Linked DNA regions of Drosophila melanogaster. The protein of the gene in region 1 interacts with the protein of each later gene in a pairwise test. Each region holds a gene or a part of one and is shown on either strand. Other genes may lie near its edges.

Region 1 (16,523 bases):
TAAGTTAAATTTTTTAATTAAATAAAAATGTAAAAATTTAAATTTTAATTTTTCATTGTTGTTGTCTTAGCTAACTATGAGTGATTAAAACTTATGACTTATTTTTTTACTACTATGAACATATACATTTTTTTTGAGTAGAATAATGTTTTCATTCGCAATCTTTTTGGACTTTTTAATTAAATTATTATGCTTGTCAGACTTGTTTTGGCATTTCATATTATTTGGTTTTCCCAGTTGACTGAATCACAATCCACTGGATTTTTTGGTCAACTTTCCGGCTTTGCAATTTAAAAGGACTAATTGCCCGCTAAAAAGAGCCAATTTTTCGTCTCGTTCCGTTTTTTTCCTTTTCTCTTATTTTATTTGTTTGTTTTTTTTTTTTTTTGGAAGGACTAAAGAGTCCTTTGCACGTATAAATGGAGTGTCCGACACTTGATTTATATACTTGAGTAATGGATGTCGCACACATAAAGTCGACTGGACAGAGCTTTTTGTAGCTGTGGGTGACAATTTAAAATACAAAATGGAATTGCAAATGCATTGAATAGAAGAACGCAAAATACTCTACATAACTTCAATTATTTGACCAGAAACATATAATTTAATGTGCTATATTATTGAAAGTATTATTTATGGTTGATCAAACTTAAAAGAAAAAATTGGAAACAGGGCATTAGGCTTTTGGTTTCCTCATCAATAGAATCAATATCTACTATGTCCTTTTTTCTTAGCCTACTTTCAGGCGCCTTTAAACGATTTGCGTTCAATCTTTCACACGCTGACAATTTATTTTTTTGCTTACATCTCTGCCTCTCGTTAATTTAAATTTTATTCTATTTTTTGCCCAACTGCCAAGCACTTTGCATACAATTGAACATTAACCCCCGCGCCCACATAGTCCTTAATTTTCTTGTGTTTTTTCCCAGGCTTTTTTTTTGTGTAGTTTGTTGACATTTCTTTGATGGGCGTAGAGCAGCTTCATTATTCAGCAACAGCTGCTGGGTCAGGGAGGGGTTTTAGAACGAGGGTCTTGGGGGGGGGGGGGGCGGTGTCAACACCCCACGACGCATAAATTTGACTGACTGACTGACGGACACGCCGCACTTATGCCTCAATCCATCGTTTCTACCCACCCCCCGGCATCAGCACATATATCATTTTCATTTTGTAATTTGTCTCCCGCTCCCCCTGGCCATCGGTTTTCCGCTTTTCCGTCCGACTTTCGGCATTTCGCCCCGTCACGGGCCATTTTGTGCACAATGGCCCACAGTTAATTGGTTGGGTGTTGCCCATTTCTCTGCTAGCTGGTAGCTGGGAAACTGGGAGATGGGAGCAGGGGATACTGGTACCAGACTCCTGCGTCCGTCGTCCTTCGTCCTTCGTCCTCGTATCGCTATCGTCGGTGTCAGGAGCGAGGTAGGCGCCTCATATTAAATTACATGACAGCTAACATGAGGTGCTAACTTCCCCTCGGCGAGCTCATTAAATGTGGAAAATAAATGGCGAATGGAGGCGTGCCTTCACTCGTGAAAAATGCGGTAAATTCAGTTTTACTGATGCAATTTTAATCATTTTCCTGCGATTTACATTCAGCTTGTTGAATTCTAGGAAAGTGATTTGGGCCAAACAATGTAATCAATTACTAAATAATTGACATTTTTCCCAAGACATAAGGCAGTTAAATCCCTTTTAATATACAATCATTTCAAATATATTTGCAACTTTATGTAAATTTCACTTGAAGAATTAACATTTTCAGCCCAAAACTGCGATTTAAAAGGCTTAAAGCCGCCTTTTTGTTTCAAACCATAATCTCCAGTTTTGAAAGCCATGTAATTGAAAATCTAACTTCCAAAGAATACAAAGCAATAAATTAATTTGGCCAGAATGCTGCAAGTTAAGTCATCGCACACTTTTCAAATTGGATGCGAAGGGAAATTAATTAATTCCAAGCGTGCGCGCTATCAGAAATGCTCCTCCCAGTGAGAAACTTCAGGCGATATAAGTATAAGTAAAATATTAAAAAAACGTCTGTTTGCCCCTTCGGTTACTTAATTAAAGAGATGATGCAGTAGTGCAAATATGCATAACTTTTTAGAATTCCATAAGCTGGAAGGGCAAAAAGTCGGTTGGTGAGCCATTTTAAATGCAACCTTTGTGCAATGCGGGAATTGCGGTTTCGTGTTACGCACAACCTAATAATGCTAATTGCATATCGGTCCGTTCTGGCTTTCGACTTTCAACTTGGCTAAATGGAGAGCCACTCTTTGGATTGGCAAGGGGATGCACCCATTGCAATCCATTTCGTTATAAGCTTATGCAAAAATGGCATAACCCTACAGCACGGAATCCAAAAGTGGTCTCAACCAATCAAATAGGAGTTATTATGAAAAGGTATTAATTACTAAAGTGTTTTGGAATACTTATTTTTAAGCGGATAATATTAAACAGAAGTGTGTATAAATACTCCCATTCCTGTGAAAACAAGATCACAGGTGCATCACAGATAGCTACAATAAAAGTATAAATAACACAGCATAAAATATCCGTACAATTGTAATAATCTATATTTTCCATCTAGCAAAAGAAAAGTTCTTTTTTCCCTTGGGTAATTATTATATCATTTGCCATTTGCAGATGCACAGACATCCTCGCCATTCGCCATTGCTAATAACTTTTCTTCGTAGAGATTTGAATCTGGACGACAACAAGACTGTCAATGTCCAGTGTCCTTTGGACAAAAGCATCGAAAAAAAGCAGGAGTGAAAGTGAAAATGAAAGTGGAAGTGAAAGTGAAAGTGAGAGGAAAGGAAAGGCCAGAAGTGAGAGACAAAGGCACTTGAAAAGTTCCGCATCATTACTCGGATGTTTTGTGGTGATTGGCTTATGTATTGGGTTGATCTCTGGCCACGCCCCCAATGCAAACAAAAACTTCAACAAGGATTGAGATTGAGATTCCGGGCAGAAATGACAGTTTGGACCGCTCAGATCCAGACACTTGAAGTGACGACGTGTTGTGTTTGCCCAAACGAACGAACTTTTCCAACTAAAACAAAAGGAGGAAAACTACGTACGTATGTATCTAACATTTCAATTTAAGTTCGCCGAGAGTTTCTTTCGCTGCTGTTTCTGCCCTTGATTAACTACAAACAGCGTGTGCCCGTGGATTCGCCTTCATTTCGAACTAATTAGTTGCAATTGTTTGCCGCCTTACTTTCAGTTCGTTTCGACTGTGACGCGCACACATGGCGTATGCGCATTATAAAAATTTATGACTCATAGAAATTAAACGACTGTCATTCGTATGTATTAGCCGGGCGAAATTAGTTTGCCCTAGCAGATGCCAGACGACCCCAGAGTTTGAGGGCTATAAATGGTTGGAAATTCGAAATGGGTGCGGTTTTCAGGGTTTTCTTGGTTTTCCGGGAAGAACAATAGCGACGAACCAAAACGCGAAAGATGCATATCAAATGGTTGCCAGCATAAATCAAAAGGTAACCCAAATACATAAATATCATGCTATAAACATGTTTATAGGGCGGACTTCTGGGGAGTTGAATAGAAACCTTATCTAAGCGATTTCGCCTGTTCATTTGTATATTTCTTCCTTTTTGAGCGCTGCTAAATAATGTATAAACTTGGCCTTTAATTGAACTTTTCGCAGATAAGCAGTCAATAAATCGAGAATGTAAAATGTATTTGCTTTTACGCGGCTTTTCGCTATTTATTTTTTTTTCGTTGTGTTTCGTTTTTGTAAGATTTGCCAACGAAAATTTGGCAAGGTGCTGATATTGTTTAATTCGTAGGCACCTTAAATCAATCCATTCAACAGAATAACATTTTCGAGATCACACCCATATGTTTCATGAATATGTTTACATAGTTTTTGTTTAATGCTGTCGCGTCGGTTAATTGTAAACAAACTTACTCAATGGACTGACTAGATGAACGGATCGTGTCCAGGAGCACGCCCCATTTAAATATATATATATATAGTACGCCAAAATATAGACAATTTTAGCGATTAGGTGCGAAGGAAGACTATATTTTCCAAGAGCTGCAAATTTGTTTTGCCTCACAAGTTTTCACGATCGTGAGGCCATGCTAATGGCACCTTAAAGCCACGTTAACGTATCCAGCTGCCAAAAGCAAATAAATGGCTACCACAAGCGATGCACTTTGGGATTTCGCCTGCATTTTTATTTCCCACCCAGTCATTTTTGTGCATTCTCAAGTGCTCCTGTCCATGGCTTTAGCTTGTTTTGGGGTTTTTTCCCTGGTTTTTCATTAGCTTGGGAGTTTCCGTCTTGTGGAAACTCAGTGTGCAGCATGAAAAGGGTGTTGTCCAAATCCCCGAATAAAACATGAGCTCAAGATTCTGATTACGACTGTAACCTTTATGTCTGCTCCTCCTAAATTGAAATGAAAAACACGCAGAATTTATAGTGCATGGAAAGAAACTATTCAATTTATTCGCAAAAGAGTTTTGTAGTAAGCGGACATTAATTTTACAATATGCTCCATTATATTAAAATATCCATAGGAATTAAAATATTTTCAAATTGAGAGAAGGCAAATTATTAAAAATATAATATTATCGAATAAGAAATACTTTATTTCAGGAAAATATTTATCTAAATATAAAGCCATTTTTTCTGTGTAATGGATGATGACGAATTGAATGAAAAAGAAGTGCATCGGTTTTATCAATAAAAACTAAATTAAAATGGAGGCAGGAACGTGGGAGTAGTTATTAGGAATTATTCATTGAAATTGCGTAACTCAACATTTGTATTCAATCAACAGGAAATCTATGCTCGAGCAAGGGCAGAAATCGCATTTAAATGGAAATTTCTATAGTCTGTTTCGAGCATCGGTTTTGAAAATATCCAACCCATATATAGGATTTATGGGGCCGCACAAGCCGTAACAATCCAACGGAAAACGGAAGCAAAATAAACAGCACAAAAGCGTAACGGAAACAGAAACAGAACCCCAGGAAAAAGGGGCCCGTTTTTGCCGATTTGGATGTATGTAAATGCATATAAGCTTTTGCACCCACACACAATTTACGATTGCAGCTGCAGTTTCGGAGGAGTCAAGGAGCAGAAACCCGTACTATTTCACGGACCCTTTACGGATTCAAATGTCGATAGGCGGACAGGGAATTTATGGAGCTCTCATCAATTTCTCCGGATAATAAAGCCGCCATATGCACTCTCGAATGTCAGCTGTCGAAAAGCCAGGAAAAGGGCGATTACGCGAGATTAACCGATCAATTTTTAATTTGCCATTTCCGAGACCGCAGATACACACATCTCCATCAATCTGCAGTTATTATTTATTATGCTTACATTTGCGTTAAAGTGTTTTCCGTGTTACTCGTGTTTTCAAGCGATTCCGGGCGTCGCATCTCATTTAGGATGCCACTTAAACAGGATGTGGATGGGCAGAGCACATGCCACGCACACACCGCACACTTGGGCCAAATTTTGTTTACACCGCCAAGACACAACACAACACACAAGAATTCAAATGAATGAATTTATTGAATTCTTTTTAGCGGGCCGCAAAAGCACTTGAGACTCTATCGCCGGATATTGGCATCAACGCTGCCAAATCGCCGAGTACATCCGAAAAATTGAGTTTTTGAACTTGAACTGTCCGTCGGCGCGGAGGAGAGAACGCATGCGACTTGTTGGCGCGCGCGAAAACGTTTGGCTTGGTTTTGCTTTGGCCTTTCCTTGGCTGCCTGGCTGCATGTTGGCCGGACCAATTGATCCGGAGATTGGTTGGGGCGCCAGAATGGGAACCCCACTCTGTTTGGCTAAGAAATGCCGGCACTTTTGCACGCAAGCGCAGCAACATGTTGCTGGCAACTTCAAATGTTGCAGGTCACCAATGCAACATCTATGTAAGCATTGATCACTGATTATCTTTTTAACATTATTTTGAATAGTTACTTAAATGGCCACTATTTCATTTTGATGATATATTTGCTATGTAATTTAATGGATTTATTTTAAATGTACCGCCCAACCGGTTACTTGATATCGATATATCTCGAGAAGTGCCGGCATTTCGTTATCGATGAGTACGCGCTCGCATTCAGTCAAAACAGTGACTCCCTTAGAGATGGGATAGATTTCGGTAACTGTTGGTCCGCCACATAAAAAAACAAATGTTCTGTTACATTTAAAAAAATGTTTAAAACGCTCTCCTTACGAATATTAGTAGAGAGTAATCATTTCTCAACATGACAGTTATTATTAATACATAAATCAAACGCCCCGCCCCGTGACTTTGAGCAATATATATCGCCAACGAAAACACATGCAACCATCGCCCATCTCTAGTCTCTCTTTTTGATGTCTTGTGCATTCGACATCGTTTAGTTTTGCTGTAAAATAGTAAGTTTATTGTGAAATATCAAACGCCAGGTGGTAGTAAACACTTAAAAAGCAAGGCAGTGAACCGATTTCTGCCAGGGCTTCGAATGAAACAACCAAATGTCATGCGGAAATATTTGGCATACGTTTTTGCAAAACGCCATGTTGGCCGCTCAAACATAACCTCAACAAAGCAAAATCTTATGTGGCCCGAAACTAATAAATTGTGATTCCAGGCGCAGACAAACGGCCGCGTAGAAAGTCAACAAAGATGTCGCGTTTCTTTGCCAACGGGTCCGAATCGGAGTCCGAGTCCAGCGAGGAGGAGATCCAAGCGACCAACTTCAACAAAGCCAGCGCCTTCGTAAGTGCCGCCCAGATGTGAAACTCATCCATTACTAATCTATTCCTTTCCGTGGAAAACAGCAATTCAGCGACGATGAGGAGGAGGTCAAGCGCGTGGTCCGCTCCACGAAGGAGAAGCGTTACGAGAACCTCACCAGCATCATCAAAACCATTCGCAACCACAAGAAAATCAAGGATATTCCCAATACCCTGAGCAGCTTCGAGGATCTGACGCGCGCCTACCAGAAGGCACTGCCGGTCATCTCAAAGGAGGAGAACGGCATTACGCCGCGATTTTACATTCGCTGCCTGGCCGAGCTGGAGGACTTCATCAACGAGGTGTGGGAGGATCGCGAGGGCAGGAAAAACCTTTCCAAGAACAACTCCAAGTCGCTGGGCACTTTGCGCCAGAAGGTACGCAAGTACATCAAGGACTTCGAGGACGATCTGTCGCGTTTCCGTGAAGCACCCGACCAGGAGAGCGAGGCCGAGGACGAGGTGGTTGCCCTGGAGAGCGACGGCGGCGATGCTGGTGATGACAGCGACGCCGGAGTGAAGCCTACAGAAGCGGTTCCGAAAGCTGTGAAGTCCGCGCCGGCAAAGGCTGCGCCCGCCGATGATGACGATTCCGATGACTCCATTGATTGGGACTCGGACTCTGAATCGGAGACCGAGTCCTCTGACGATGAGAACCAGTATCAGAACATGCGCGAGCGATTCTTGAAGCGTACTACCGAAAAGGAGGAAAAGGATGATGACAAGAGGAAGGACAAGCGTAAGGAGCAGAAGACCAAGATCCGCAAGCGCGCCGAGGACGATGAAGATGGCGAGTGGGAGACTGTGGTCAAGGGTCATGTAGTAGAGAAGCCCAAGATGTTCGAAAAGGACGCAGAGATCGATGTTCCCCTAGTGCTGGCCAAGCTGTTGGAAATTATGTCGGCTCGCGGCAAGAAGCGCACCGATCGCCGTCTGCAGATCGATCTGCTTTTCGAGTTGAGGGACATCTCTGATCAGCACAACCTGGGAACCGCCGTCTCCGTGAAGATTCATTTTAACATCATCTCGGCTATCTACGATTACAACCAGAAGATTTCCGAGCCCATGAAGCTAGAACACTGGGCCCTGCTTCTGGAGGTAATGCAGAGCATGATGAAGCTCCTGCTGGCCAACGCCGACATTATTATGAGCGAGAGCGTGGCCGAGGAGCATGAGGAGTACGCTACGTCACCGTTTTATGTGAGGGGATGCCCACTGGCTGCCGTGGAGCGCCTGGATGACGAATTTGTTAAGCTGCTGAAGGAATGCGATCCACACTCCAACGACTACGTGTCCCGGCTGAAGGACGAGGTGAACGTGGTTAAGACTATTGAACTGGTGCTGCAGTATTTCGAGCGCTCTGGCACCAACAACGAGCGCTGTCGCATCTACCTGCGCAAGATCGAACATCTCTACTATAAGTTCGATCCGGAGGTGCTGAAGAAGAAGCGCGGTGAGCTGCCAGCCACTACCTCCACCTCCGTAGACGTGATGGATAAGCTGTGCAAATTCATCTACGCTAAGGACGATACGGATCGTATCCGTACGAGGGCCATCCTGGCGCACATCTACCATCATGCTATGCACGACAACTGGTTCCAGGCCCGTGATTTGGTGCTGATGTCTCATCTGCAGGACAACATTGATGCCGCCGATCCCGCCACCCGCATCCTGTACAACCGTATGATGGCCAATCTGGGTCTGTGTGCCTTCCGCCAGGGCAACGTCAAGGATGCGCATCACTGTCTAGTGGACTTGATGGTCACCGGCAAGCCCAAGGAGCTGCTCGCTCAAGGACTGCTGCCTCAGCGCCAGCACGAGCGATCTGCCGAGCAGGAGAAAATCGAGAAGCAACGCCAGATGCCATTCCATATGCACATCAACCTTGAGTTGCTTGAATGTGTCTACCTGGTGTCCGCTATGCTGCTCGAAATTCCTTACATTGCCGCCCATGAATTCGACGCCCGCCGCCGCATGATCAGTAAGACCTTCTACCAGCAGTTGCGTTCCTCGGAGCGTCAATCACTGGTGGGTCCACCAGAGTCGATGCGTGAGCATGTCGTGGCTGCTGCCAAGGCTATGCGTTGCGGCAACTGGCAGGCGTGTGCCAACTTCATTGTCAACAAGAAGATGAACACGAAAGTGTGGGACCTCTTCTACGAGTCTGATCGCGTGCGCGAGATGCTGACCAAGTTCATTAAGGAAGAATCGCTGCGCACCTACCTGTTCACCTACTCGAACGTCTACACCTCGATCAGCATTCCTTCGCTGGCGCAGATGTACGAGCTGCCCGTGCCGAAAGTGCACTCCATCATCAGTAAGATGATCATCAACGAGGAGCTCATGGCCAGCCTGGACGATCCATCCGAAACCGTGGGTATGCATCGTTCGGAGCCATCGCGTCTTCAGGCCCTGGCCATGCAATTCGTGGACAAGGTCACAAATCTGGTGGACGTCAACGAAAAGGTGTTCGACATGAAGCAGGGCAACTTCTTCCAGCGCGGCAACATGGGCAATCGCGGTGACCGTGGCTACAACCGCAACCAGAACAACCAGGGCGGCAATTGGCTCGGCCAGCGGCGGGATCGCAACAACCGGAACCGTAACCAGCGCGGGCACCACAAGAACAACCAAGATAGGCAGCAGCAGCAACAGCAACAAGTCCAAACGATCGACGAGGAGTAGACGTTGCTGCAACCTCAGCCCATCCTCTCTAGCGAGCGTTAGCTTAAACATCAGCAAAACTTAAACAGATCAAATTTGTAGCACTTCGACTATTAAAATGGAATGGCCATGGACAACACGTTGGGTCACATGCTTTCAGGCCTCCGATTCGGTTTCAGGCTGGGTCGGAGGTCTGTTTTTATCATGTCCATTGCATATTGTTGTAGCCAAGTCACACGAACATTTGTTTCAGCGCTCATTACGTTAAATGATAATACTAATAACTACATTTTGTATGAACCCAAAACCGAAAAAGAAACCTTAAAAACAAGAGACACAAAATCAGTGACTTTTTTTTGCAAATTTTTACCAACAACTAATATTAAATTTATATGTACTAACAAGAGTATTATTTTAGTCGGCTTAACACTTTGGCTTTTGAAAATTTAAGAAAACTAAGAATAACATTTGAATTTCGATGACAAGCTTCGTTTTCTGCAAAACTTCGGATATCGATATGCTCTTTTTTTCTCACATCTCTGAAACCTTTTCTTCAGTAGTACCGTTCGACGTACCTTTGTCACATTTTTTCGGAACTCTATAATAGGCATTATAAATTAAAACCAAAATATACCTAGTAAACAAATGAGCAGCGTTGGCGAGGATTGCAACGAGCTGAAGCAGCAGTACGATGCCTGTTTCAACAGCTGGTTTTCTGAACGCTTCCTAAAAGGTCAAATGGATGACTCAGCGTGTGCTCCGATTTTCCGGGTTTATCAGGAATGCGTCAAGGTGAGCTAATCGGCTCCCTAACCACGTATGGTTTGACCAACCTGTAATCCCCAGCGCGCTATTAAGGAGAAGAAGATCGATTTGCAAGAGATAGATCCGATCTTCGAAACCGGGCTTGAGGAGAATAATGCGAATAGATCTGATGCAAAACAGCAGCAGGCGGGCGAAAGCTGACCCCGTAAGCTGCTCCATATAGCCATCCTAATCCTCGCCAGCGTTAATTGGTGGCTGCACGCGCTACAAAATACTTGTAAAGAGAAACATTTCGTAGTACTTTGACTGTTAATAGTATCATCATGAAACATGGACAACTGATTTCGTTATAACCAGAGTGCCTTTATTAAAATAAATTAGATGTTCTTAAAGAATTGAAAATTCAAATTTCGATAGCACGTTCAGTTTCAACGAAACGTACATCGATATGCTGTGTCCCACATCTCTGATAGCTTATCTGTAGTATGACCCTCACACAAACCATTCTCACATTTTTTTCGACTTATTATTCAATAGAGAAATTATAACTGAAACTCAAAGAGCTTCACTCCACAAATGAACAGCATTGGCGAGGATTGCAATGAGCTAAAGAAGCAGTACGACGCCTGCTTCAACAGCTGGTTCTCGGAAGGCTTCCTTAAGGGCCAGACGGATGACTCGGGCTGCGCGCCGATTTTCCGGGTCTATCAGGAGTGCGTCAAGGTAAGCCCAGGTTTCAAGTTTCATCATCCAGCTGGTTGACCCAATCTTTGACCTTTAGCGCGCCATGAGGGAGCAAAAGATTGAGCTGCGGGAGGTCGGATCTGAGTACTGCACCGGCTCGGAGTACGACAATGCGAGTAGTTCCGGCGGAAAGACGCAACCCAAGACAAAAAGTTGACCCGTTACGCAGCTCCAGCATCCTGGCAACGGCATTGAATCCACAGTGGGCCAGAACCCGGGACACAATGACCTCACCGGTAATCAGCGCCGACACCAGAGTGGAGGAACAGCCTAGGTCTACCAAGTACCAGAAGCAGCTTTGGTTTAGTTCCATGACTCGTATCCTTATGTAAATTATTTAGTGAATGTTTTATAAATAAGTTCAAGTAGCGAACTATAAAAAATGTTATATTCAGACAGAATCCGTCTTTGAGTTTCTTAGAAGTATATACAAGCCTATGATTAGGTAATGGTCGCAGTTCTTATTATTGGTCGTATAAAAAAAAGCTTTTTAACGAAATATATAAAATCCATCTTAATGACAAAGTATGACATTACATGGCCTCCACGCTGATAATCCTGCTTATTGTGAAACAATAACACATATAGGTCGTACATTAATGGTAAATCCCATCGCCCAATAAACAGATCGGAGTACTTCCCCAAGAGAAAGGTCACTATTTCAACGATAAGGTGAGGCAATCTCACCTATAAAGAGGAGCATTAAAAGCTGCAGCACCACAATCTAAAGTTAACTTGCCGTTAATCAAGATGCAACTGCTGCCAATCCTCGTGCTCCTCGCTCTCCTCATCTGCGCCGCCTGCAAGAACCACGAGGACTGGGGAGGATACCGACCAAGTGACTACGATCCCAGGCCATATTTCCGGCAGTTCTAAATGATCACGAAACTCAACCCACAGGAAAATCTTTACGAAAAATCGATGCAACCATAGAAAGAAAATAAACAAAAAAAAAAACTAGGGAATTAACGTTGTATTTGTTAAAAACCAAAGCGAAGCTGATGCCGAAAAGGGTGAATTATTGGCAACCGTTTCTATAGTTTTATCTGAAACATGTATGAATGTTTTATGGCTTAAAAACTAAGTTTCACTGTCACAGTTAAACCAAAAACACAACTAATAAAAACTGTTTTAGGTGATGAAACTGCGACAGCAGACAATAGAAACTTAAAAACCTACACAACTTTATGCTTTAAGATTAAGTGGGACGAACATTCACTTGCCACCGGCAGTGAATTTGGAGAGCTTTTCCAGCAGACCAATGTAGGAAGTGTGCTCATGGGCAGTGGCTAGGTCCGACAGTTTTTCGGCAAACTCCTGACTGATGCCCTTCTCCTCCAGCAAGTTGATCAGCAAGTCGTACAAGTAACCGTCAAGCACGTCGCCTGCGACGGCGTAGACCTTATCGTTCCACTCGCCCTCGAAGATGGCCATTTCATCAATGGAGAAGACATCGTCTGAAAGGTAAAACCTGTGTTATCGGTGAATCAAAACGATTTCTGTCAAAGTACTCACTGTACTCGCCCTCCTGAGCTTCGCCTTGAAGGAAGCTGCAGGTAAAGGACAGCGTAGAGTTGCCCTTTATGATGTCCACCTCGAACTGGGGCTTGCTTCTCATTTCACCGAGATCCGGCTTGTCAGCATTGGGGTTGATTTCGGGCTCCTCCTCGCTGTCCACCGTATGGTTCACATTGAAGCTGACCACCACCTTTTCCTTATCCGTCTGCTTGGTGAGCTCCACATCGGCGCCGGTCAGTTTTACGGCGAATCCATCCAGGGTGCTTGGCACCGTCTTGCCCTTTTGAACCTTGCGCTCGGCCACTATCTCCTCGGTGAGGAACTCCACCAGTTCCCGCTCACCTGGATATAAACAAAGCGTTTAATTTTCTGTGTTTTGGTCAACATTTCGTCACCCAACGTTTGAGGTTATGTAACCGGCGGCATGGACCGCCCATGTAAGAATTTGTTGAGTTAACTTACATTTGGTGTGCACGTTGCAGCCGCACGTGCAATTAATGCTGGGCTTGTGGAGATTCAACACGGTTACATGATCGGATCCTCCGGCTGTCACCGGCTTTTTGGTCATGTGCCACAGGCTGCGGGTGAAATCGCGCTTGCCGAGAGATCCGGCACTGGAGCTGGCCAGAGCGGCAAATCGCATGGTTGCTGTCCTTAGGCTGTTCATTTTGTTATATAACCGCGACCTGGGCTTTTTACTTTAATTAAACACTGAAATGTGCAACACGCCAAAAGTGTAGTGCCTGGTGTGACCGTTGAATCTTATTCAGAAAATCACGAGGCTGATGTATTGTAGAGCCATATCAGAAGTTATCGATCATTTTTCGGCGCGAAAGGCTTTATCGTAAACTATTCAAATTTTGAAATTAGCCTTTATTGGAAAAATGATTGATTTCAATAAATATAACCAAACCATATTTGCTGTAAAAATTCAATGTTTCATAGATCCGAACCTATTAAAAGACCACATTGAGTTATGAAAAAAATGACGACTTTATTAGATTTACGAATTGCTTATCGGATGTATACAACAATATACACATTACAAGGACATACACAGTAATAAAAACTAAACACCATGAAGGGTTTTCTCTGGTTCTTGATCCTCCGAGTGGAAGACCCATTCCTACGCAATATTATCATGCATGCAATCAGACTCGTTCGTCATATATATCATTGTTTTTCAACCAAAAGGCATATCATTTCATCTTTCTAAAATTTCAATAAAATCTATCACAATATGAGAAATCATTACATTACGTTTTTTTTTGTAAGATTTAAAAATATTTTATATATAGCTTTTATCGGGATTTTCCATTTTTAAGACTTTCTTATGTTAAGATTTAGACATTAGGCGTACATATACGTATAAAAATATATTAATTACGATGAAAATTGCATTTTACACGTTTTAAAAATAAAATTGCCATTGTACATTGTATTTATGCAACTTCTTTAGTGGGACGGACAACAGCTTAGAAATTAAACATAAAATTATTAAAATGCTGATTTACGTTGATTGCCAACCAAGCTCATTATTTCCATCCAAAGCTTACAAGTTTAGCGTTAAGGCCTAGATTCGACACGATTTTATACTATTTATAAGGCTTGCTGTTGTTGCAGTGTTCATTTATTTTCGCTTTCTTGTGCGTTTTTCCATCTGATGATGTGGGGGCTGCGGTGTCAGTTCTTATCAAACAGCCTCATAGAAGTTTTCTTCGTTTCTTAGCCTAGTTCGTACTTTTAATTACATTCTATGTTCAATTCCTTATAGAGCTTATGTTAGATACAATTTTACGCTTTTGTTAGCCACAAAGCATAGAGCTTTAAAGTCTCTGTCGCATTCTGTTAGTTCTCCACAAAACAAACTCATATAGAATAATTAATCATTCAGTCTAACAAAATACTTGTTGAATATTCGATTGAATTTCGAGAAATAATTGGGGCTGGTCCGCTTCGGGTTCGATTTCGGTATGCATGATATGTGATTAAATTTGTACAGCTCTAATATTTGCACTTAAAGATTATACATTAAGAGTACACATAAGGGGCGACACAATCGGGCTGCGTAGCCAAGAGCCGGCACTCCTATTTTGGACAGCAAAGGTCGACGTCAGGGGAATGCGGAATGCTTCGGGTTAGCTCCAGGCTGCGGCAGCCCGCACACTACGTTGTCAATAAATTTAACTAAATTTTGACAAAGAAACTAAGCTTACGCAAATTTTACATCAAATTAAATTACAATACAAGCTAAGTAAAAAAGACGCAACAGCTCTGCTTCCTATCTTTCGGATGCGTTTCAAACGCATCCGAGACTGTCGTTTACATTATTCGCAAATTGGGTGGGGGGTTACTATAACTAACAGCAACATAAACAACGAAAATATGTTTTAGAGTATAGAAATTCGACTAATTTTGCAGTTGGCTGCCCTCACAAGGCCACTAGATGTAAGTGCGTTTCACTTTTGTCAGCGTTGACGTTTTGCAGGGCAGCTCTTTTTCCAAATGTTCCGTGGAGTTTTTGCACTCATGACTGCGATCCTTTTCTAAATCCAGATTAGGTGTTTTTTGTGTGGTCGTATAGGCATTGGAGCCCATTAACAGGTTGATGTCTTTGCCAGTATTTTGATGTTTAAATTGCCTGTCAAAACCATTTAATTAGAATTGTCCAATATGGATTTGCATCTTCCAAGATAAAACTTACATTGGCTTGCCGAAATGATTGCGGTGACTTTCATCCATTTGGGCCTCCATCAGGCGGCTCTTAGCCTTCACACAGCATATTCCTGCGATTCCACCCACAAGGAAGGTAAAGAAAACGATAGTTGTAAGTAGCATGAAGCTGGGCGTTGAAGCATATTTGATTTCATCTACACTGGCCGTAGACTTTTGGGGATCTGTCAACGAAATGCGAATATTAAACCACAATATTCCTAGGAAAATAAATATTAGTACTAACCGTTCAAATTCGGCATAATATCGTCGGGATCCATGGACGTAAGGGTGATCTTGTTCAAACCAAAGTCATCGCCACCAGTTGGCTGTTGTTCCAAGCTTGGCTGATTGCCCTGCGACGAGCCCACATTGGAGTACAAAAGCTTCTGCTCCTCTGTTGGCGGTGGAGCCATGGTAACAAAGCTTACTGTTTCCGCACCGGGTGCATCTCGGGGAATATGAGGACATAGCAAGGCAGCGGCTTTCTTGGTGCTATTCAAGCTTTGCAAATAAGTCTTTGTTCCGAACTTGTGCTGACTCGTAGCCAGGTTCTTGCATTCGTGTGTCTGTAAGTCCCAGGCGCAAATGGGATCCTGGAGACTTAAGCAGCCCAGACAGTCGACAATGTGAGAGCAGTGGTGCAGGGGCACGCTAACCAAGCTGCCATCGCTAACCACAACCAACGAGTTTTTCGAAGTGGAGATCACCAATTCCCTAATTGGCGTTCCAAGTGGAAGGACCTGCATCTCTGATATAACCACTGTCTTCAGGCGATCAACAGTTGAGTTCGGGTGAGTGCTCAGTATATTGATGAACTTGGTCACCTTGCCGTCATCGGTGCCACTGTATATAACATCGTAGTAAGCTCCACTTAGGGACTTTACCTGCGGATGCACTGCGATCGCAGTAAGTCGGTGGTGCAGATTCACCTTGGTCAGCAGCGGACGACCGTGCACTGCTGGCACAGCCTCCTCCATCAAGGGATGGTTCTTAATGAAATTAACCGCGATGCTGGTCAGAGTTCTAGAGTCCTCAACGCACTGTCCTGGACGTGGTTTCGGCACTTGCTCACGCTCCACTGGCAGCCAATGGGACTGTGAATCTTTCTGCGACTTGAACTCTCCATCAAAGGCGGCCAGTATATCGTCTACGTTAAATGCGCATACGGCCGAGCCAGGAATGGCATTCACAGAGGTTGTGAAGACAGCATAAATCAGTGACTTGGATCCGCTCTCCACAATCGGACTAATGGCCTCTGTAAATGGAGTTTGCAACAATTGAGATTATAATTTTTGTAAAGAATATCCAAAACGTCTATTAAAACTTACGGATTTCGTCAAAATA
Region 2 (16,951 bases), on another chromosome or scaffold:
TTCCTGTGCTCGACATATTTGCCCGGTATTTTGCGGAATATTTTTGCAAGATTTCTGCACATTTGGCCCGTTTATGTGGCCCTTTGTCGTTAACTGTGGTATTGCCCCGCGGCTTAAGCCTTTTTCTGTGATGGTCGACTGTGCGCTACCCAGCACCACCCTGAACCACCCAGCACCACCCTGAACCACCCAAACTCCTGCTGCTTTGACTAATTTGAATGTAATTCGTTTTCGGGGCTCACGTACGGCTGTCTGCACTTGGAAAACATGAATAAAACCGAATAAAACGCGAATGAATATAAAAATGGGTACTACGAGTACATGAATAAAAAAAAAATACCAAACACAAGAAAAAAAAAAAAAAAAAACACGCGCGCCAACAGCGAACAATAAACGAACAATAATAAGTAATAAGACCCTGAGGCAATTGTGGCCCCCTCTCCCTCAAAAAATTTGTTCAACAAAACGCGATAAAAAACAAACCAAAAAACGCAACAAAGCAAAACAAAGCGCATAAAAAGCACAGCAAATAAACAAATAGATACATGTGTGAACAAGAAGAAAGACAATTTTGTTCGGCGCTCCATTATATTGTATTTATATTGGCGCCTGCTCAAGGCTTACACCAAAATCCAATCCGGTTTCCCCCGGCCATTGTTGCACAAAAATCGCAGCTAATTGAAGGACTTTTGTCATTGGAGGTGTTCCGCATTGCGAAACGTTGTAGGAAGTATCTTTCCATATGTGGTGTTCGGATCAAAGAGAGGACTGGATGTTTACATTGAAGATAACCAATGTGTGCAACTAAATTACCAAAAGGCCGATGAAATTGTTTTAATTGAAGATATAGTGATTCAAGTGCTGCTTTTCACATCTTTCAGCAACATGTTGCACACGATGCAGCTGCTCCTGCTGGCCACTATTGTGGGCATGGTCAGGAGCTCGCCGTACACGAGCTATCAGAACCAACGGTTCGCCATGGAGCCGCAGGATCAGACGGCAGTGGTTGGGGCCAGGGTAACGCTACCCTGCCGAGTGATCAACAAACAGGGCACGCTCCAATGGACCAAGGATGACTTTGGACTTGGCACGTCCCGGGATCTGAGTGGATTCGAACGCTACGCGATGGTGGGCAGTGACGAGGAGGGTGACTACTCCCTGGACATTTATCCAGTGATGCTGGACGACGATGCTCGTTACCAGTGCCAAGTGAGCCCAGGTCCCGAGGGCCAACCAGCCATTAGGTCCACATTCGCCGGATTGACGGTGCTCGTTCCGCCCGAGGCGCCCAAAATCACACAGGGCGACGTCATCTATGCCACCGAGGATCGCAAAGTGGAGATCGAGTGCGTTTCGGTTGGCGGAAAGCCGGCTGCTGAGGTAAGTGTCTCAATTTGATTACATTTTCTTCTTCCCATACAAGTGCCTAAAAATATGCAGCGAAAAAGGGCTGTTGTCCGGTGGCTTTCGTTTAGATGCTCTTATGGCAGCTGTTATTTTTGGACCGACTTTATCGAAACTATTGTGAAAAATAACAATGTACGACCACCCGTGCTTTCCCCTTCTTCTCTTACTCATCGCAGATTACCTGGATTGATGGCCTGGGCAATGTCCTTACGGATAACATTGAGTACACGGTGATACCGCTGCCCGATCAGCGACGCTTTACGGCCAAGTCCGTCCTGCGATTGACCCCCAAAAAGGAACACCACAACACGAACTTCAGTTGCCAGGCGCAGAACACGGCGGACCGCACCTATCGCTCGGCGAAAATACGTGTCGAGGTGAGTTGTCCCCCGGCCAAAAAAAAAAAACCAGAAGCTGACCTCCCCCCCCCGATGGTCATTCTGTTGACAGGTCACTGCAGGTTTTGCATGAGCATTTACACTAGAACAAATTTTAGGCTAAGACAGAAATTAAAATTTGAAATTTCTCTCAGGATGCTGCTCGGCGGTAGATGATCTTAGGTCAATAGATTAAATATGATTAGGGAATTGAAAAGGCCCTCTTGATTTCTTATCAGCTATAGTTGCAAACAAATTTTTTCGAGTGCATTCTGCTGCCGCAGACTGAGGTTACCTTATCTATAGCATGAACGGGGGCAGAAGAGATGGGAAAGAGCCTGCTATCTATTTTACGTGATGCGAAGCGCTGCGGAATTCCCCTTCTTTCCCGAGGACAGCTGCAAGCCGGGGGGATAGTATTTTTTGAATGGGCTTTTGTGCCGGACATGGCTCGACACTGACGGGCTAATTCATGCCCGGACATAAAGGCGCCCATCATTCGGGTTTCCCTCGAACCCCACATTTCGTCCGGGGTGTGAAAGTGAGGAGCCAACAAAGGCCTGACCTCAGCCCACTTGTCAATGGCCTGGTTTTCGGCAAGGTGGGTTGCAATCGAGGTAGTCACATGTCCATGGCGCTGACAAATCCCTGACGAAGATGTCTGGCCAAGGAGTGCCGGGATTCCCAGATGATTGAGATGATTGAGGGCCAGCTTGAAGCGTACGCATGGGAATTCCTTGGTCATCAAGGACATTGCACATAAATTGGTAGCACAAGAGGGCCTTTTGAATAGGAAACGGTTTAACCAATCTCATATATACAATCAAAAAATTTAAAGAGTTTGCACTCCATTTAATATGCGTCGTAATTTTTTTCAGGTGAAATATGCCCCCAAGGTGAAGGTGAATGTGATGGGCTCGCTTCCCGGCGGTGCAGGTGGTTCGGTTGGTGGTGCAGGCGGTGGCAGTGTCCACATGAGCACCGGTTCCCGTATTGTGGAGCATTCGCAGGTGCGCTTGGAGTGCCGGGCAGATGCGAATCCCAGCGATGTCCGGTACCGCTGGTTCATAAACGACGAACCGATCATCGGCGGCCAGAAGACAGAGATGGTAAGTGGCGCTCCTCCTCCTCCTCCTCCTCCTGATTTTTCCTCGGCGCTTTAGCAGCGCCTCTCCTTTGAATCGTTCCCCCGAGATTTTAACTCGGAAAAACAGGTCCACATTCCACTTTGGCAGGCTGGCGCATAATTAGAGCAACTATTGCGATTAAAATGCTGCCCCTGCTGTTGTATAATGTTGGCAATTATATTGAAACCAGTTAGATCGCCACCGGAAAGGCCTAACGTTCCCACAATTAATCGCAACTGGAACTCATGGATCGACCCTCTCTCTTCCCGTTTTCCCATCGTTGCAGGTGATACGCAATGTGACTCGCAAGTTCCACGATGCGATTGTCAAGTGCGAGGTGCAGAATTCCGTGGGCAAGAGTGAGGACAGCGAAACCCTTGACATAAGCTGTAAGTAGTCCAGCATAATTTACAATTCATTTAAGATTTTCTGTATAAGGAGTACAAAAGTGCGACTGCGACTGGCATTTTAATGTTGAAACGTTATTAATATCCGAATATATCAGAATAAAATACAACATAACGTAAATTGTTGACATTTGTGAATTTCCATAAGTCAATAATATAGCTTTGGGCATCACACTTTTGGCAAACTCAATTTAGACGTTTTCCTTGCAAAACTTCAAACATGTGTTGAACAATGATAAATATTTAAGATATATATATATATATATATATGCATTAAAATAAGCCAATTTAATATATATTATTTATTCGTTTAAATTGCAGATGCTCCCAGTTTCCGGCAGCGACCACAGTCAATGGAGGCGGACGTTGGCAGCGTGGTGTCCCTAACCTGCGAGGTGGACAGCAATCCGCAGCCGGAGATCGTCTGGATACAGCATCCCAGTGACCGGGTGGTCGGCACCAGCACAAATCTCACATTCAGTGTGAGCAATGAGACGGCTGGAAGGTACTACTGCAAGGCCAATGTACCCGGATACGCTGAGATTTCGGCAGATGCCTATGTCTATCTGAAGGGCTCGCCGGCGATTGGATCGCAGAGGACACAGTACGGACTGGTGGGAGATACGGCTCGGATCGAATGCTTTGCCAGCAGTGTTCCTCGAGCCCGTCACGTCTCGTGGACGTTCAACGGCCAGGAGATCAGCTCGGAATCGGGACACGACTATTCGATTCTGGTTGATGCCGTGCCGGGGGGCGTGAAGAGCACGCTCATCATTAGGGACAGCCAGGCCTACCACTACGGAAAGTACAACTGCACGGTGGTCAACGATTACGGCAACGACGTGGCCGAGATTCAGCTGCAAGCCAAGAGTAAGTATCGCATACTAAAGTTATATAAAATGGTTTTTTTTTTCCGTTTTTGAAACGTACAATTTCTTAGTTAGCCCGTCATTAAAACGAATTTTCCCCCACTTTTCTTGTGTTCTTTGCAGAGAGCGTTTCCCTGCTGATGACAATTGTGGGCGGCATTTCGGTGGTGGCCTTCCTGCTGGTGCTGACCATTTTGGTTGTGGTCTACATCAAGTGTAAGAAGCGCACCAAGCTGCCGCCAGCGGATGTGATAAGCGAGCATCAGATCACGAAAAATGGCGGCGTTAGCTGCAAACTGGAACCAGGCGACCGGACCTCGAACTACAGCGATCTAAAGGTGGACATTTCGGGCGGCTATGTGCCCTACGGCGACTACAGTACGCACTACAGTCCGCCTCCGCAATACCTGACCACCTGTTCGACGAAATCCAATGGCAGCTCGACCATTATGCAGAACAACCATCAGAACCAATTGCAACTACAGCAGCAGCAGCAACAGAGCCACCACCAGCACCACACACAGACGACGACCCTGCCGATGACCTTCCTGACCAACAGCAGCGGTGGCAGCTTGACTGGCAGTATTATTGGATCCCGTGAAATTCGCCAGGACAACGGGCTGCCCAGTCTGCAGTCGACCACCGCCTCGGTGGTTAGCTCATCGCCGAATGGCAGCTGCAGCAATCAGAGCACCACTGCCGCCACCACCACCACCACCCACGTGGTGGTGCCCAGCTCGATGGCCCTGAGTGTGGATCCCCGCTATAGCGCCATTTACGGCAATCCCTATCTTAGGTCCTCCAACTCGTCGCTGCTGCCGCCACCCACTGCCGTTTAGGGTGGACCAGCACCGTCCACCACCAACACCACCACCACCACCACTGCCAACAACAACGATGACCCACTGAGCCACGCTAAGACTGATCTCACAAGGAACCGAGGCCCCGGCGGCTGCTTTTGGGGGGGTATCACTGTTCGTGGTGGTGCGTTTTTTCAGCTACCAAAAATTCGAATTGCTTAGGTTTAGGCACTTAGCTCACATACATCCGATTATATAGGCATAATCGTAAGCTGATCTTTAGCATCATCATTTCTATAGTCCTTAGGTCTAGGGTATTTTATTTTATGTTTTTTTTTTTTTTTGTCGTTTTTGTGTTCTTAGCTTAAGGATCTTACAGTAGGCTAATATCCCCAGTTTGATCTAGAGAGAGACTAAGCTTCAAAGAATGAGTGTTAAGCATTTACAGAACAAAAAACAAATCTTAGGAAGATTAGAAAGTTTTACTGCTTGTTGAGAAAACGCCGTAATGTACTAGTTAACTGATTGGGGATTTAACCTCCAGTTACAAGAAAGAAAAAAACTGGTTTTCTTGGGGGCGGGGATATGCGAGAGCCGTTTTGAACATGTTCTCTGATTTCATATAATGTTTCAAATATTATTTTCGATTCAAATATTATTTCCGTGTCTCTTATTCTCAAAACTTAATGCTCTTCTATTTTTAAAAAATTTGATTGCTATTTTTTGTACAGTGTACATGTGTACATGAAACTTTAGAACTATTTCGTAACGCGTAACTCTCCCAGAGATTTTGAAATCCCAAGAATATTCCTTCGTCAAAAACAGCTGCCCCTATATAATCCGCAAAAAATATATAGAATGGTAATTGAAAGAATTCAATTTTATGTATACACAGCTATAGTATATGCTAAATGTTAATGATATATATATATACAACAAGCATGAAGACATTCAGTTGAATGGATAGCGAGTAAGCGAACGAAATGCCAAAGTACCTGATAGTATTTAAGTAGGGGGTGGGAAAGTCTTTGGATCGGTACCGCCCGCCATTAACTTCTTCTGAATTATGTAGCATTATCTTTTCTCGCCGGAATTCTAAGCTATGACTTGGGATTCGATAGTGTGTTTTACGATTAAATAAATATAGAAGCTAGATCTTGACAGTCGCCTTAACTTATGACACGCCCATACATCTCAAAACGCCCATGCAAATATAGGAAAAGAAAACAAAAATGAGAGCGTAAACGTATTCAATTCGTCAGTTCAATTGTGCTAAGTGTACTTCTAAGTGTATAACGGTCTAATTATCCTAGTTGTAGCCTAACTAATGATAGACACGCATATTTAAAGTATAGAACCTAGCCCTAGATATACATACATGCATTTTTTTTCATAGGCCTAAGCATTATATTTTGATAAGCCAGCGTATTTCGTCTAAGGAGCCCCTGAAAAGTAAACATTACTATTTCATTTTGCTATATTTATTAGCTGTGGGTATTTTATTAGTGTCGCCAATTAAGCGCGAAACGAACAAATGTTTTTTGTTTACAAAATGCAAATGATAAAAGCAAATAAGCAGCATGAAACACACACAAAGTTAAACACGAAAACAAAAAGCAAAAAAAAAACTGAATAAAAATTTATTGAAAAAAAAAAAAAAAAAAAACAGAAAGCCGAGGAAAGCGAATTGAGAGTTGGACATCAAAGACGAAAGACAAATATACGGTAGGGGGCAAAAAACATTTTTAATTTGCCCAGGTCGGAAGGACCAACTGTCAGTTAGCTGCAAAAAGCCAAAAATCAAACAAACAAAAGTGAAATGAAAATGTTCCACCACTGGCACCACTTGCACCACCACCACCGCCAGTCATGTGTGTTAATTTATGGCAAGTCGACTCGCCGTTGTCGGAGCTACTGCACTGTGGAAAAAGGTGGGTATATTTTCGTATTTAAGAATGATTTGGCTTTCGAGGATAAGCAAGTGGTAAAATAAAAGAGGTTAAAATAAGAGAAAAAACGTCTTTAACTCTTTTCTGTATACTAGATTTGAATTCTATTATGTTTTTTTGCTATTGATTTATTTTAATTTAATTTTAATTTATTCCAGAAAACGCTTTCTACCATATTTTCACTCAGTGTGACTGACCAGAGTTGTGAAGTTGACAATGCAAACAAACGGCTCGCTAAGCTCGACTAAAAATGCTTAATGAGAGTGCGTAAGGGTGGCCCCCCAACCGTTGAACCACCCACCAGTTCACCACTCCACCCGCTTCCCCCTTTCCCACCCCAGCCCACCAGTTTCAGGACCCTTTTTCGCCGCCCCTTGAGGCAAGTGTTGGCCGCAAGAAATTCTGCGGCTATGGGCAACAAAGTCGCGCACGACGCCCATTAAACTAAATTAGTTGCCCTTTGTCACCGAACGACCCTCGCTGTCACACGTGGCTCGCTGGGGGCGGTGGGGTCGAATGTTTTGGGGCGGCGGGTGGTTCGAACATACGTGCACTTAGCCAGAAGGAAGTTGCAATTGCGGTTGGCTGTGTTAATTAGCGTTTTCTTTTTTTCCTCATTGCGAAAGCGAAGGGGAAACTCTCGAAAACTGAAACTAACGTGAGTTGGCAAATGTCAAGAGACTGGTGAAAGTAAAGCCACAGAAACTGACATTAGTTGGAATCCTTTTCAGAACCCTTTATGAAAGTGCACCAGCTTCACTTCAGTTTCTTTAATGCTAATGCTACTCTACTAAGGCAATATTCAATGCAAAGCCTTGTACACATTGATATTCACTTTGATATACTTGCATAGGAATATTCAATATATTTTTCCTCACATATGTATGCTTATAGTATTTTTTTTATTTATTTTGGAAAATTGCTTGGCGTTTCCCAAGCCCCCAACCTCGTTGACAATTGGCAAAAGTTGCGAGTAAGCTTCTTCAGAAACAGCAATTCGCATTGTCCGTGAAGTCGTGCGGAGTTTTGCCGGCGCGTTAATCACTCTGCAATCCAACATCCTTTCGGGTTTCAGGTTCCCTCGGCTCCTCTTTGGGATGACTTTTTTTTTCAAGGGGAGGACGGAGGACGGGACTGGAGATGGCGCAAAAAACGGACACGAGGCGCCCGAAGAGTTACGATTTCATTAACATGAGATATGGCAACTGCCAAAGCGCTGGTCGCTCCGAAGCCTTGGGTTTTCTTTTTTTTTTTTTGGGTACAGGATTGGGGGTTTGTGGTTCGGTTCGGTTCGGTTCGGTTCGGTTCGGGGTCGGTTCGGTTCGGGGTCGTTCCGGGGGTCGTGTTGGGCTGGTTTATGGCTCAAGTGTTGGCTTGTCGTCGCCGCTTGTGTCGCACTGCGTTGTTAATTGCTACAAGGAGAGTGGTCGAAGGAGCGACAGAGACAGGTGGATGGAAAGCACTCGGAAAAATCATTGACCCACTTGGAAACATGGGATCTCACGTAAATAAATAATATTGCAAATCAAAGAGGTTGTGTTTTCTTATGTGCTTTGAAAGGGTAGCTGTCGTTGTTAAGAGGTTCCGCTGAGAGGTTCCTCCTGAAATATAATGTATATTTTTTCTGTTTGATGAAGTTATCTTTGGATGATTTCAAAAAAAGGCTTCCTTTATTTGTTTGAGTGCACGGATAGCAAAAAGAGCGGCAGCTCAGGGTCGCTTCATATGATTAGCAAATGTTTTGTTTTTCACTATGCACTAAAAACCAAAGGAAATGGGAAACGCACCAGCTACCAGCTGGTGGTTTTTGTGGATGGTGGCCGATGGGCGATGGGCGGCGGCATTTTGGGTGCTTTTCCGTCCGTGAACCCTAACCCCAAAATGGCTGGCAAGTTTTGTGTGAGCCTTTATGCGGTGGTGTCGGTGGTGGGAGGTTGCTTAATGTTGGGTGGCCACTGTAATTGCTGTTCTATGTGTGTTTCCCCTGTGTGTGTGTGTGTGTGTGTGTGTGTGTGTGACTGAGCGTGGGTGGGTGTTTTTGTGTCCCAGTGTGCGTGGCCAGTGCGGGAGAGTTGAATTTCTTGAATTAATAAAATGTCTTCATTATTTAAATTGCACGCACGACCACAGAGGCGGAAAACCCGAAACCCAAAACAACCCAACCACCACTCAAACATATGTGTGGAGTCGCCTGACGTGCATATATCTATCCCCCAATGCGACTGTGTGTGTAAGCGACTGAGTTAATTAGCAGCTGGGGAATTGTGAAATGTATTAATATTGTACATTTCGGTGGGTCCAAATAACGAATAGCCGACCAAAAGCCTTGCCAATAAACCACAACAAGCCGTGTCGCAACATTCCATTTCCCACTTCGACGGTCCTTTTGTGGTCACAATGTCGCAATGTTGCTATGGTATGGTGAAGTAGCGGTTCTTTAACTTATTAGAGCATAGATTTCTGATCATAAATATTTGGCATTCTTATGGGCATATCAATAAAAAAGATGTTACAATACTACCCCTAAAGATATGCTATATATATTGTCATTGTCATGTTACGATTTAAACGATAGTATCGATAAGCCGAAGAAAGATCACTCATAGATGGCGTGTTTGAATTTGAAGACAATATCAACAGGTGTGAGATTAAATTTCTGATTGGAAAACATGTTTAGTAATTTGATAGCATAATACGTTTTTAAAGTGTAACTAGTCTTATTAACCAGCTTTTCCTGGCAACAAAATGTGATACAGCTGTTAGCAACCATATGTTAACGTTGATAAAAAAAAAAACTTTTTACGAATGGCTTGACAAGTAAATGCAATAATCTGGTCCTACTCTTGCAATATATATATATATATATATATAGGGAATCCATTTTTCTAATATGGAACAACCAGGCAAGTATAATCTATACAAGCTGCGTGTTAGATGCCTTAGATCTACGAAAGTTATATTGCATATATGCATTTCACGATTATTTAAGGCCCCCGGTGACCTCGATGGCAGCCCCATTGACGTATGACGATTGCGGGGAGGCCAAAAAGGCAATGACCTCGGCGATCTCCTCCGGCTGACCCAATCGGCCCAAGGGGCATCGTTGTACCACCTCCTGCTTTACAGAATCGGGCACAACCGCTACCATGGGCGTGTCTATGTAGCCTGGCAGGATGCAGTTCACACGGATGCCAAACTTTCCGAACTCCTTGGAGGCCACCTCCGTGAAGGAGATCACGCCCGCCTTGGTGGCCGCATAGTTGGCCTGGCCCACGTTGTTCATCTTGGCCACGATGCTTGAGAGGTTCACAATGGTGCCGTTTTCCAGTTTCTGCTCGATCATGGCCTTGGCATAGGCCTGGGTAACCAGAAAGGTGCCCTTCAGATTGACCCCGTATACGTCATCGTAGTCCCGTTCGGGCATCTTGAGCAGATAACCATCTCGGGTTATTCCAGCCGAATTGACCACAATAGTGGGTGCCTGCTGGAATTTCTTTAGGGCCTCGGCCACCGAGAATTGAACACTCTGGGCAGAGGAAACGTCCACCTCCAGGGCGGCAGATCGCTCAGAGCCCAATTCCTGTACGGTTTCTTGGGCCGCCTTTAGATTGCGGTCAACGGCGATCACTTTGGCACCATCTCTGGCCAAAAGGCGGCAGGTGGCACGACCAATTCCTGATCCGGCACCTAAAAACTCCAGTTTAGAAGAGTCCCATATAAAGAGCAGATATCAAGAGAAAACAAACGAATACACACCTGTTACCAGGGCTACTTTTCCAGCTAGTACTCCCACTGACATGGCTCTAAAAATGACTTAGTAAACAGCAGTTTTCACTTGTTTTCTCCTCAACGGTCGTGCGACAACTATATAATCACTAAAATATATCGCCGGCCAACAGCTGTTCCAAAGCTGATTGGCTATGAACAAATGAAACATAAGTGAAGTGGTGGAAAGCTTTTTACCACACGATCGTTGTCAGAGCTTTTCGGTGGAACCATATGTTTATCAAGAAAAAAATGTAAGAGTCCAAAGATCACAAAAGCGCTTAAAAAAAAAATTGTGCTTTGTATATGAATTTTATGTTTGTTTGCCGAAACATAGTTTTAGGCTCGTTTAAAAAATACGTCTACGTCTCTGATGGCAACTAAATGGAAATTCATTTAATTTGTCATGTTTAAAAATATTAATATTTTCCATTCATTTTTGCTTTAAGGAAGGCTATTTGATAGCCAACAGTATTGAGTACGAGCAATACTCAATACTCAGCAATTGTTTTTAGCCCAGCGCCCAAAAGAGTGTACGTAAAAGTGTTGTATTTTCAAAATGTTTGTATTTATTTCCGGTCAATAATTTCACTGCAGTGGTATTAGGTAGTACTCCTCCAGCTGGGGAGTCAAGTTCGCACTCCGGACACCGCTATATCCAGCACTCCGGGCCAATCCAAATTGCCTTAGGAGCTTCTTGAGATATCTCTTGGGTATTTTTATCAGCTGTCTTCGGATTATCCGCTGCACCCTGTTCCATGGACGACTTCCGCCGCGGTGATCGTCCTCGGCATCCTCCAGCTGCTGATCCTGTTCTGGGTCATCCTCTTCCTCCACCAGATCACCGCCATATTCGTCCTTCTGCGTTTTGAATTTTGCCAACTGCTCAGCCAGCTGTTTTAGCTGCTTCTCGCTCAAACGACTGAGGTCAACGGGATCATTTTGAGCCCGCAACTGGAGTCTCGATCCACAGGCTTTGGCAGAAGCCTCCGGAATTGATGGTAACAAGATTGAAACCACGATCAGTACGATCATAAATCGCTGTCCAGCCATGTTTGTACTGAGCCCCGGGCTAAACAGCCGCTTAAATACCCGAAAATTGCCCCATCATTCGTCACGATCTGATCTCTTTGGTGATTTCGTCCCAAAAATGTGGGTCAAGTGCGTACTTTTCACAGACTTTTGTTTTTTCTTTGATTCTATGCCCATAAAGGAGATTGTACCAACTATTGTTTTTGCCTTTCTTTGCTTCTGAAGATCAACGATCATTGATCTTTGGTGCTTCATCGCTGTAACCTCCGATCTTTAGAGGGATGTTTTTTGAAAAATTGTATAAGCAATTAATATGAAGATGTAAATGAGCCTAAAGTAAATTGTGGGTAAGGTATGTACTCAGTTTCTTCAGTTTAATTCCTACCTTACTTGCTATTCGCAACTATATTTTAGCCCGTTCTTATTCTCTTATAATCTTATTATTTTGTTATACAATTTACTATTTTTATTATTAGTATTATTACCGCGCAAAGATAAAGTAAGAATGCAGTTTTGTTATTCTTGAAGGGCTTTATTTATCGTTTATCCTGCCGCAGGAAGTGTGGCAGTAGCAAGTTAGGCTACAATAAATTAGAAAAAAAAATTATCTTGCCGGAATGTGTCGGATCGTTGGATCCTGACCTTGAATCCTAGATCCTTAGACGGCGGTGATGCGATTGCGACGGTTCTTGTTGCGATTGCGACGATTCTTCTTGTTGCCGTTGCGCCTCCGGTTGTTCTTGTTGATTTTCTTGGCAGGCACTCGCTTGCGAACCACGCGACGCTTGGAGACGGGACGACTACCGGTATTGAGCATCACCTTCTGGCCGTTCTTGAAGTAGCGGCGGTAGCGGGGTGGGATGCGAACGCTGATCACCTGGCCGCGGCGGGCGCCTTTGCGTCGCAGACTGATATGGTTATTGCTTTGGGTGGCCTTGCCGCCTTCGACGGTGGCTCCGCCAGTTCCCTGGACCTCGTGCTCAGTGGTGACCACCTCGTATTCCTGGGCGCCAGCGGCCAGGGCGGCCTGCAGAGCCTGCTCGTCCATCAACTCGGCGGGGTAGGCCTGTGCGGGTTGGGCCAGCTCCTGGTCCTGTTCTTGGTCCTGATCCTGATCCTGTTCCTGATTCTGCTCCTGGTCGTCATCGTTGCTGCCATATCGGGCACCCTTGATAATCGTTTGCCGTGCGCTCGATGTCGTCGAGGTGGGTGTTGTGGGCGAAGTGGTAATGGTGCCAGTGGCCGAGGGAATGGTGCCTGTCGAGGTCACTGTCACCGTGGGCGAAGTGGGTGAGGCTCCTGTGCTAGTCCCGGTTCCGGCGCCGGTGATAATGATCGGAATCACGGGTTGATTGTTGCTGCTAAACAGGTTCTTGAAGGTTAGGAACTTTTTGAGAAACAGCCTGCCACTGGAGGGATCCTTGGCAGAGGTCGATGCACCAGCACTGGAAGCGGCCTGGCCCACCTTGGCATCCTGGTCGACTTGACGCGACTTCAGGGCCATCTTCTTCTCGGGTGCCGCTTGTGCGGCCAGAAGACAGCATGCCGAAAGGATAACGATGGCGTACAACTTCATGTTGGATAAATTTATAAACTCTTTTGGGTCTTCGGGAAACTACTCTGGTTAAAGAAGAGAACTTTTCGGATAGACCAAAATCGCTGCGATTTCTGTTGCTCGCCGATGGCTGGACAATCAGGCTTTGATACTTTATCGGCCAGCAATGAGGCTTTTTATAGTCCCGCAAAATACGCTGTGGAATGCAAATAAGTAAGTGCCGAACGGTAAATCTGTGTACACAATTGAAATTAAATTGATCCGTGGTAGGGCTCAAATAGTCAAATCGCTGCCAGCTATAATGTATATTCTCCAAATTCTCCGTCATCATCATTCTGCCGGTCATCCCATGGGTTTTCGGCCAAGCGGAACGCCTTTGGGTTTTCGGTTTTTGGATTTGGTATTGGAATTGGGGTTTTGGTCTTCAGGTTTCTGCAGCGCCTTGGGCTTTTGCTAGAGTGGGCTGAAAAAAAGTGAAAATCTATTGAAATCCATTTCTAATTGAAGCCGTTGGGTCGAAGGTGGCGCAAAGCCTGCGAAAGTGACCCACAAAGTGCCATAAATGTGCGCCTAACGATCTTCAATATTCCACATGTTTTTATCTAATAAAAAAAAGGAATCATTCAATCTATGTTCTTTTCGTCTTTTAGGTGCCTGAAATAAATTATTATTATTAATATATTGAGTAAATACATATGAATGTATGTATAACTCCATATAAAATAAATAGCATTTTCCTGCTACTATCCATTTGATTACCGTGTTCCTATCGCATAAATCAAATCTTATCTAATACGGAATATAAATATGTGCGATATAATAAATATATATGTTGGATATATGTTGTTGGGTTTTATCGAGTAGGATAGATATTATGGGCTTATTAATATGAGATGATAGTTGCAATTCATTTCGAGGAGGCATATATAGAATATTCTTTGACTAAACTGAATATGAGAATAGTGATAAGACAATGCATTTTTGTTTTCTATATATATTCGCTTTATTTCAATCGTACATGTCGTGGTTCAGAGGTCATTGCTGGTCACTGGTCGCTCAGTTGCGGCGACGGTTGGCGCGACGGCGCTGACGGAGGCGGCTCAGGCGATTGTTGCGTCGCTGACGGCGGCGGGCGTTGCGATGACGGCGGTTCTGGGAGCGACGCTTCTGCTGCTGGCGACGGGACAGGCGGCGGCGCTTCTGCTGCTGGCGGCGAAGGGCACGACGGCGTTTGTTTAGGGCACGACGGCGGCTCTGGTTGGAACGGCGACGGGAGCTGGCAAGCTGCTTGCGCAGCTGCTCGTTGAGTTCCTTCTGCCGGCGCAGTTCGATTTCGCGCATCAATTCGCTGTTGGACAGATTCTTGTTGCCGGACGATCCGTAGGAGCTGCTAGCGCTGTTGCGACGGCGAATAGAAGAGGATGAGGATGCAGAGGCTTTGGGAGCCACAAGCTGGAAGCCGTCGTCCTCGTTATCGTCATCATCTTGGTCGTCCTCCTGCACTTCATCCTCGTCCTTCAGATACTTCTCTTCCTCCACATCCTGGTCAAACTCCTCATCGTCGTCGTCCTCGTTTCCGTCGACCAAATTGTTCTGGTTGAATGAGCGACGAGCGGTGGTGGTAGGGTTTGTGGAAGTTGTCGTGGGTGTGGTGGTTGTTGTGGACGTTCCAGTTGTGGTAGTGGGCCCAGTGGGTGAGGTCGTCACTGTGGTTGTGGTGGGCACAGATGTTGTTGTGGTGGCTGCCGGAGGACAAGGTGGGTTCTTCAGGGACATAAGCTGCTGTAAGCTGCGTGCCTCGATCTGCACTGGCTGCTTGAACAGGCGGTACTTGGACTGTTGGGCGGTATCCTGGGCGGACTCGTCGTTGGAACGGGCAACTGGTAATTGATGAAAACATTAATGTAGCTCATAAAACTCAATAATGGTCAATCATCTCTTCCGTAGTCCGCTTAAATGTCTCTACCTTAAGTAGTGACTGATATTTTCGTAAAACCGAGTAAAAACTAAACTCACCAGCCGCCTGGGCAATAATTGCTGTGCCCAGCACCAGCAGAGCTCCGTAGAAGATCTTCATTTTGTGGTTTTCCTTGGTATTTCCTGCGGAACTGGTCTTGACCTTAGGATTGGATTGGCTGGGACTCTGCCTGGGGGAAGGTCTTCGATGAACTGTGATATTGCCAGCGGCCAGCCGGGTTTATATACCCAACGCTCCAGTTGCGGATCTAACAACAACAATCCAACCCAGAATCGGCAACCATAATTCTCATTATCATTTCTTTTTCGCAAATTTGCACATTCGCCAAAGTTTTTGCATAAATTTTGGTGACCGCTTGCCGATCGTTGAACTAGTTTGACCCATGCGACATATATTAACCAAAGTTCGCTATAGTATTTCACTTGGAATCTGATTGATAAACACAGATTTCAAAATTCCTGCAATAAGTTACTAGGTTTTGCCCTCAAAACAATGACGTTCTGTTAATGCAAACTGAAAATGTTTATATACCAATGAATTTTTGCTTTCGAAGGTTTCATCACATAGGATCCTGGAAATATTGGTTCAAATATTTTTGCTCTTCAGCTTTCTGCTTCGTCAATACTCAGGATGCATAGGATTTTGGAAATATTCATTTAAAGGGTTTTTGTAACTAAGGATCATTAAATAGGCTTATATATATTATAAAATTCATGTTTTGTGAATTGCTTATGTTTAAAAATTTACAATTTTTATTTCAATTATTAGGCCGCTTTAGATATTTGAAGTATTACACAACGGTTTTTTTTCAAATGGCTAATAAAGATAGCACAGTTCAAAGCTATATTATAAAAAAAATACTACCTTCACTTTTAAAGTGGTAACCCATTTGCTATCTCTTTTCAAATCCTTATAAATCCTAAAAAAAAAAATGTTGAGCCAATGTGTCGGCTTTTTCACATAATTTTAAATTAGAAAACCGTATAGTATCAATTCACTTGGTTCGGGTTAATTGTGAATTTTGAGATTTTATCAAAGAGATTAGAGCTTACGCATCGAAGCTCGATTGAAAATCGTTTTCATGTTGATATGTTGATGGTGATATTTTGCAAATATATGAGGTATGATATATACCAGATACATTTGTGGATCCATATTAATATATGGATCCATATCAATATGCTCAAGTGACGAATGTCTTTTGGCACCCGACTCCCCACTTTCCCAAAGATAGCCACAAAAACTATTCTATCATTGCAATTTATTCGGTGTCGTTTCAAATCGATTTCCGGGATATCCCCGCCTTAGGCGCCGATGCGGATGACGCGGTTCCGGTTGGGGGTGCTCTGGCGGAAGCGGCTGACCAGGCGCATGTTGGTGCGGCGGTTACGGCGCTGGCGGCGCCTCTGGTTCTGCTGCCTCCTGCGGCGCTGCTGCTGGCGACGCTTCTGCTGCTGGCGGCGCTTCTGCTGCTGCTGCTGGCGACGGCGACGCTGCTGCTGCTGGCGGCGGCGGTACTTCTGCTGCAGACGCTGGCGCTGACGGCGGGCGTTCACCTGGCGACGGCGGTTGGCCTGCGAGCGGGCCACCTGGGTATGCTCCTCCTCGTCATCGTTCTGATCCTCCAGCTGGAAGCGCTGATGGTGGCCCAATTGTTGCTCCTCCTCGTCGTCGTCCTCCTGATC

The links.
Region 2: the proteins of CG30109 (region 1) and CG3603 interact in a two-hybrid assay, tested with the Drosophila melanogaster proteins (one large-scale study listed by BioGRID).

Annotation. Positions count from the first base shown.
Region 1 is NT_033778.4:17,659,404-17,675,926, forward strand, and holds CG30109 (uncharacterized protein), read left to right. Parts: upstream 1-10,678; 5' UTR 10,679-10,778; coding exon 10,779-10,925; intron 10,926-10,983; coding exon 10,984-11,103; 3' UTR 11,104-11,345; downstream 11,346-16,523. Other genes in the region: eIF3c (eukaryotic translation initiation factor 3 subunit c), read left to right, coding at 6,664-6,756, 6,819-9,458; CG30108 (uncharacterized protein), read left to right, coding at 10,083-10,229, 10,284-10,403; IBIN (induced by infection), read left to right, coding at 11,697-11,822; P32, read right to left, coding at 12,162-12,403, 12,462-12,806, 12,927-13,131; Sema1b (semaphorin 1b), read right to left, coding at 14,907-15,105, 15,169-15,361, 15,424-16,434, 16,508-16,523.
Region 2 is NC_004354.4:2,941,890-2,958,840, reverse strand, and holds CG3603 (uncharacterized protein), read right to left. Parts: upstream 10,808-16,951; 5' UTR 10,736-10,807; coding exon 10,693-10,735; intron 10,624-10,692; coding exon 9,917-10,623; 3' UTR 9,721-9,916; downstream 1-9,720. Other genes in the region: rst (roughest), read left to right, coding at 886-1,380, 1,584-1,784, 2,663-2,893, 3,198-3,300, 3,640-4,188, 4,311-5,026; CG17959 (uncharacterized protein), read right to left, coding at 11,290-11,736; CG14423 (uncharacterized protein), read right to left, coding at 12,392-13,309; CG14422 (uncharacterized protein), read right to left, coding at 14,345-15,168, 15,305-15,365; CG14421 (uncharacterized protein), read right to left, coding at 16,571-16,951.